Tribolium castaneum: one gene and its partner. The protein of the gene in region 1 interacts with the protein of each later gene in a pairwise test. Links are inferred from orthologs where the notes say so. Each region holds a gene or a part of one and is shown on either strand. Other genes may lie near its edges.

What was found. The genes of interacting proteins can lie anywhere in the genome.
Region 2: the proteins of stumps (region 1) and Hr39 interact in a two-hybrid assay, tested with the Drosophila melanogaster proteins (2 studies listed by BioGRID). The link is inferred for Tribolium castaneum from reciprocal best matches to the Drosophila melanogaster genes stumps and Hr39.

What each region holds. Positions count from the first base shown.
Region 1 is NC_087400.1:4,990,503-4,994,653, reverse strand, and holds the start of stumps (phosphoinositide 3-kinase adapter protein 1), read left to right. Parts: upstream 1-1,335; 5' UTR 1,336-1,446; intron 1,447-1,805; 5' UTR 1,806-1,929; coding exon 1,930-1,939; intron 1,940-4,151.
Region 2 is NC_087400.1:8,820,151-8,823,669, reverse strand, and holds part of Hr39 (nuclear hormone receptor FTZ-F1 beta), read right to left. Parts: intron 3,055-3,519; coding exon 2,614-3,054; intron 1-2,613.

The sequences.
Region 1 (4,151 bases):
CAAAAACTGCAAAGTCGCTCAACATTTGTTAAATTTTACACAATAACTCAATTTTTAAATAAAAAACGGAAATAAACGCTTAAAAAATGCTAAAATAGGGTAATTTTCGACAAAATTTGGCGATTTCTTAAAAAAAAAGTTTCAGTAAACTTTTTCAAAATTGTGGCTAACATGATCATTTGAGTGGGAGGTTCGAATCCCGGTCTTGCCAAAAAAGTTTTTGCTTTTTTTTTTCGTAAAATTTAATAACAAAACACAAATTGAAATAGAAGAATAACGTAATGAATCAAGAAGTTAATTCACCTCTGCTGTTTTGTCAATATATTAAAATTTACGCTAATTTTTGTAATTCTAGTTTAGCGGTTTTCAAAATTTGGAACAATTCTAAATTTTTTGAAGCAAATCGTAAATTTTGGTTTTATTTTGGAAAAACTTCGCAAAAATTGCTTACTTTTGCCTCACTTAATGTAATAAAATATTTCGAAAATGTTAACTTAATTTTAAAGCAAAACTTAAATAAAAGCATAGTGCATTAAAAATGTGCTTAAACACTCGAACACTGCAAAAACTGCTCAAAAAATATAAAATTTTATTAAAATAACTCAATTTTTTGAATCAAAACGCCAAAATAAGGTAATTTCCGACAAAATGCAACGATTTTTGAATAAAAAGTTTCAATGAAACGTAAAAGTGGCAATTATTTTATTATATGAATTCAAATTAGTAAATTTATTTAACTTAAAAATGTGCTTAAATGCTTAAAAACAATCTAAAAATAAACTAAAATGTTCGAAAAACACAAAATAATATTTAGCAATTTCAATTCCGAAAAAAATATGTTAGTATTTGATAAATTCTCTTCAAACTGAAAATATTTTTGTTTTTATATTAAGAAATTACTTCTATCTGAATATTTTACAGCCTTATTTGGTGAAAGCAGCAAGTCAGAATCTATACTAAACTCTAACAAATAATAAATATTGGACGTTAGTTACTTTACTTACAGTAAATATTTGCGAAAAACCTTAATTACTCTTCGAACAGTTTCCAAAATGTGAAAAACATTATCAAACTCTCTTCCATTTTCGATCTTTGCTTCGTGTAATTTTACAATGTTTTCACTGCTAATAGTAGCTATATTAACCGTAATAAATCCGAGCCGAACATCAAAACAAAATAAATACAGCAATAACCTCCGATCTAAAAATACCATCTCCACCTCCAGCCTCCCCTGGATCAAACCCCTTGATCCCAGCGTCCAAATCCATAAATCACGCGAAATAAAGCCATCAGCAAGGGCTCGTGCCCCCTCCTGAAGCCCCTGTTTCAGCTGCTGTCACAACTTGGTCCCCTACTCCTGAAAAGTTGCCTTGCTTCAGCAAGCTTCAGTCTCGTGTCGACTTAAGTCCGAGCAGTGCGCGAGTGTCAAGTGCTGAGCTTTTCGTGGTAGGTGTCAAATATTTTGATAAATCGCGTCGATTTGTAGCGAATAAACAAATAGCACGACTTAGTCACAAGCCTGAAAATAGCAACTAGCACGTGGTAAAAAATCGGCTCCGATTTCTGGAATTTGATTCATGAAATCGCTTCAATGGAGTGTCTTTTCGGGCTAAAATTAGCTTTGGCACTGGTCATTCTGGGTCGTTTTCGGCTTGTTGACAGTCGTTAGAGGCAGTTAGACGCGAGGTATAATTAGATAATGGAGGCTTTTATTTGGATATCTCTATTATCAAGTAAAAGAGCGAATTACAGTTGAGTCATTGTTGGGTTCAGCAGGATTGTCAATGGTTGTACTCTTGTTTCAGATTTACAAGCTTTAAATAAATGCGTTCCTAAAGTAGATGCAGCCACAAATGAAGTTTCCGCTCACGTCCTCGATGGTCCAACTTGAGGCACCTGAATATTAGACGATTGGATTTAGCTGGAACAATGGATCTTGGTGCGTGTGAATTAGCTATTTAAATTTTATTCCGGGATTTTATTGGGACTTTTGATGGGTACTAAGAAGCTTTGTTGGGAGTGATGTGGCAATCGGACACAAGCCAAACTGTGGCTAACCCTCGTTTAATACAAGCCACACAAAAATTACGAAAGACTTACTTTCTTATCGTCACCAGAAACATTTTTAAGATTAATTACTTAATTAGTTGAGTATGTAGATTAGGAAGTATTTCATATAAACGTTAAATTTCAATATATGTCACGTACTACATTCTTTTAATTTTTCTGTGAAGTTCAAACAATCACGAATACAAGAAGGCAAAAATTAGGTATGGTTTATTTTTTTTTGAATAATCAGTTATGTTTGAGTTAATGGTTTTTGGAAAATTTGGAAATAAATTAATAATGAATGTCTCTTTGATACGAGAAACAAGCAAATCGATTGAGCAAAATTTATGTAAATCAAAAATGCATAGTTTTCCCAAAAAATTGTTCAAGAATTAAAGTCCCAAATTTTGAGAACCTCTGAACTAGAATTATAAAAATTAGGGAAAATTTTAATATTATCGTCAAAACAGCAGAGGTAAATTAACTTCTTGGTCCATTACATTATTCTTATTAAATCTTACAAAAAAAAACATTTTTTTTCTCTGCCAAGACCGGGATTCGAACCTCCTACACAAATGAACTGCTAATAAACTACCATAAGCCACACAGTGGTTCTCAACAGCTGGGTTAATACAAATTTCAGAAGAAGGTACGCACTTTTTGGAAAAATAATATGACCTAATTATGACAAATTCATGCGAAGTATTTCTAAGCTATTTCCTAACACTCTGTAGGTATTATGAAATTTAATTAACACATAAGTGTTTTTTCTGGAAAAATCACGAAAATTTTAATTCGAAAACAAAAAATAGTAAAGAGTACATAACAAAATGTTTAAAAAAAAACAAAAATAGTTATTAAAGTTTCAAGAAGTTATTCTGGGTTCATTATTTTTTGCAATTAAGGCTGTTTTCAACAAAAATCATAAAAATTGTACGGATTCATGTAAAAATGAAGCTGTGAAAAAATATATATTTTGAGAATATCTACCAAAAAAATTATTGAAATCCAAAAAAGTGATTGACGGTTTAATATTTTTTTCTCACTAAAGCCCTTTCTATTGTTTTCTATTTGAGAAAAAATCAAAAAAATTACGTAAGCCCCAAGAAGTGTCACATTACTATATTAATTATTCTTGCAGTCCAAGTTCTTTTTTTTTACTTTACTTATAAAATATTTTGAGAACCAAAAAGTTCGAAAATAAAAAATAACTCAGCTGAAATAGAGTAAATAACAAAATGTCTAAAAAAAAACAAAAACAGTTATTAAATTTTAAGATGTTATTCTGGGTTTATTATTTTTTGCAATTAAGGCTCTTTTCAACAAAAATCATAAAAATTGTACGGATTCATGTAAAAACGAAGCAGTGACAAAACATATATTTTGAGAATATCTACCAAAAAAAGTATTGAAATCCAAAAAACTAATTGTCGGTTTAATTTTTTTTTTCTAACTAGAGCTCTTTCTATTGTTTTTTACAAAAAATAATATTTCTAAAAACGAGCAAATGACAAAATTTCTTTAGAAAAACAAAACATTTAGTAAATTCCTAAGAGGTTGAGGTTCGTAAGCACTTTCGATTAGCTTTGCTTTTTGCAAAAATCAGAAAACTTGGTCGTATAATTCGCTAAAAATACTTCGTCTAAAAACGACCTAATGATAAAATATTTAAGAAAATATTAAAAAAATTACGTAAGCCCCAAGAAGTGTCACATTACTATATTAATTATTCTTGCAGTTCAAGTTCTTTTTTCTTTCTTTACTTACAAAATATTTTGGGAACCAAAAAATGTTTGTAAGCCCTAACAAGTGTTTTTTGAAAATTTATTATTTTTACAATTGAAAACTCTTTTGATAAGCTTTTCTGCAGGAATCAGAAAAATCTGAAAGAAGATTCACCAAAAATAAGACAAAATAAAAAAATATGAGAAAACAAAAAAAATATTAATATGTCAGTTGGTGTTTTCCTATTCTTTGCAGTCGAAGGCCTTTTTGAAAAGCTTTGTTTTCTGCAAAAATCAGAAAAATCTTATTGATGATTTGCTAATATAATTATTTAAATCAGTGTCTCAGATTTATTAGTGGATTATTAAATTAAAATT
Region 2 (3,519 bases), about 3.8 Mb from region 1:
GAATAGTCGATTTAGATTGTATACAAAATCTTAGGTCCGGTTTATACAGCGTGCTCAAAAACTGGCGCACCAACTCAATGGTGTGTGGTAGAAAAGTGGTTACATATAAAGGTAAAAATAGTAAAAAAATTCTTTGTATTAAAGTTATTGATAAATAACTAATTTTATGTAAATGATATGTGGCAACGTTGTCTAACAGTCATGATCGCAATAGAATTTGAGCAACAATAAAAATAAATTATTTTTGAAACGGTTTCCTAGGAAATAATTCCCAGTGTTGGCACATCTACACATTGTGATTTTTTGGATGAATTTTAATTTTTTTAAATTAAAAAAACTGCTAAAATCTGTTAGTAAAATTTAAAATAATTATTCATCGTTTTGCTACGGAACGATTACCTGGTATGAAACATAGAAATATAAAAAAATTATGAAAACTAAAGAAGTTAACACAATAAGTTTGTAGCTCCAGATTTTTTAAAATATAACTTTAGGAATTTTTTCAACATTTTTCCCGTAATCTGCACTTGCTTCTCAATAACGTACCACTGAGTTGGTGCGCCAGTTTTTGAGCATCCTGTATAAAGCTTCAACAAATTTTAATTCGTTGTTAAAAGTTAACAACGCAAATACACCAATCAAATTGGCTTAATTTCGTCACCTGATCCGTTAATCACACATTTAATTGCGAATTAAATTCATGACGCTTCTATAAACCGGTCCTTAAAGTTCTAGCTATATTATAGAAGTTATTTTTTTAATGTAGGCCTTAAAAGAATCAGCCTGTATGTTTGCAGTAACGGACGGGACAGCAAAATTTACGAAGAGAAAAAATAAATACTATTACTAATCAATTTACTAACCGATTTACATTTTTTAAACTACCAGAAACTAGAAAAACACTGTTAAAATTTTTTTCAACAGTTTTAGTACGTCAGAATTTTGTGATAACCTAGGAGGCAATTTATGTAAATTTTAAAACCCCATGATATAACTTCAGTTTAAATGATTATCCTTTCCCATTTTAAATTCATAACAAAAAAAAACTATTTTGGCGCAAAATACACTAAACACCAAAAACCGAATCGTGTATTTTGAAAAAAACTTAACATACAACAAATTATTTTGAAAATTTTGGGATCAGGTTGCATTATTTCTAGAACTCAAAGTGATTCTGATGGTTACAAATTTTATTACAAATTTGTTGCACGAAAACATCATTTAAGCATCCTTGTTTTAGAATAAAAAAAATAAAAAAATGTTTTTTTTAGAAAAAGCTTTTATTTAAAAAAGAAATAATGTTTTTCTATCAGAGAATATTTTTGCTTACAAATTAGGATTTTAAAATTTACAAAAACTTTTGGAACAGTGCTCAATTTAAAAAAGTAATTCTGTAATGCTGTATATTGTTAGGACCAAAAGCTTTTATAAATTAAAAAAAAAACATTATTTTTTACTTTTTAGTACATCTTTTAAATAAAAGCTTTTTTCTAAAAAAACTTTTTTAATTCTTTTATTTATTGCTTTTTAGTTTTTACTTATTATTCTAAACATATTTTTCTCTGAGATTTAGTTTCGCCGTAATTGTAACACTATTATTTTGCTGATTTGTGCAAACTTGTTAGTAAGTGATAGAAAAGAGCTATTAGCACTGAAAGCACATCCTAACCTCTGTTATGTGTCTATATTCTATCGTACAAGATAAATGAGCTTAAAAAAATAGCGACATTTGTTTGTAACGAAACGTAATGAAAATGATTAGGTATTAATATATTTTCCAATGACCAATATACCGTTAATGTTGGTATAAGTTACAGTATGTACACATCGAAAACCCATTTGTAAACATAACCTAAAACTGCAAAACCCCATTTAACCCCTTTAGAGGGTATTTAACCACATAGGATTGCATTGTCACGCAGATTACGTAAGTATGTAAAATTTCAATTTATTGAGACAACGGAAACCCTTTCAAATTTGGCTTGGAAAATATGAAACAGACATACAGACAACAAAGCAAGAATCAATTAATATTTTCATATTTGTATTGAATTAATTTTAATTATAAGGAATGGTATAAAAGTTTAGTGAAAAATACGTTTAGCAAACTCACCATGTACATATACAAAAATTGATTTAAGAAAAATAAAAATTTGTAAAGGTTAATTAATCAAGCATAACGCTGATAAGTAGTTGCCTTGTCCTTTTAATAGGCATTTGAACCAAATGACTTTCTTTAATTCTAATTAATAGTAAATCGCATTCCGGACAAAACACAGTATTTAATTCGTGAACTTTTGTCTCAACTTCACTCCAATTCGAATAATTACACGATTGAATCATTCCATTCGCTAGTTAAAATCCGTACACGTAGGTACCCAATAATAAATAATTCAATCTTATCCGTAGGCACTAATTAGCCACTTTCAAGTGAATATCAAATCGATAAGATTTCTGCAATGTAAAATCGCACCTTAAAACATTACATTATCCCAGCCAACGTGGGCCGAACAATAAATTAGCGAACGACATTCCAGCGATTGACCGAGTTGTGTCCCCGACAATTAAATCACACATTGTACAAAATGATAAATAATTTTCAAAAACACTGACCTGAATAGGACTGTGAGTAGGTGAGAACTGTTGAGTGGGCGAGACCGAAACCGAAACACTCGAATAACTACAACAGCTCGAATGGGAGGCATCACTATTGTTCCGACTCAAATTCGGCGTTAAGGTGATATGTCTTTGCGTCAAAGGGCTCTGATTTGGCGAACTGAACACACTGTACGCTGAATGGATGGCAGAGTCGGGACTTGGCGTCGGAGGGACGTTTAACGCCTTGTGCATTATGTCCTTGTGGATGAGGTCTTTGGGACCACCGATGATCGGCACGGGATGCCGCTGGCTGAGCAAGGGAGAGTTGCTGGGTGTGCTGTGCAAGGAGTAGGTGCCCATTGGGGGTTGTTTCAGCCTCATGATGGGACTCTCTTTCGAGTCCAAGTTTACGATGGTGTTCAGTTTGGGCTGCGACAGCGACAAGTTCTCCGGCACCTGAAAATTAAAAAAAATATATGTACTTCTAATTTTTACAGTATCAAGAAATTGATCTTCATCCATAAAAGAAAATAAAATTTTATTTTAAAAATGCACGAAAAAATAAAAAATGTATTTCTACAGGGTGCTCAAAAACTGGCGCACCAACTCAATAGTACGTTATTGAGAAACATGTGTACATTATGGGAAAAATCTTGAAAAAATTTAAAAAAATCTGAAACCACAAACTTTTTTTGTTAACTTCCTCAATTTTGATTATTTTTTAATGCTCTTATGTTTTACACACAATTATTTTTAAATTTAATATCAAAGTTTAACAGTTTTTTGGATAAAAAAATTAAATTCAGCAAAAAAAAACACAATTTGTAGATGTTCCTAGAGTTCCTTTATTGGGAGAGTTGGGACACTGAACGTCAAACCGAGCCAATTTTGTATTATGTGAATAAGGTATATATTTCTATC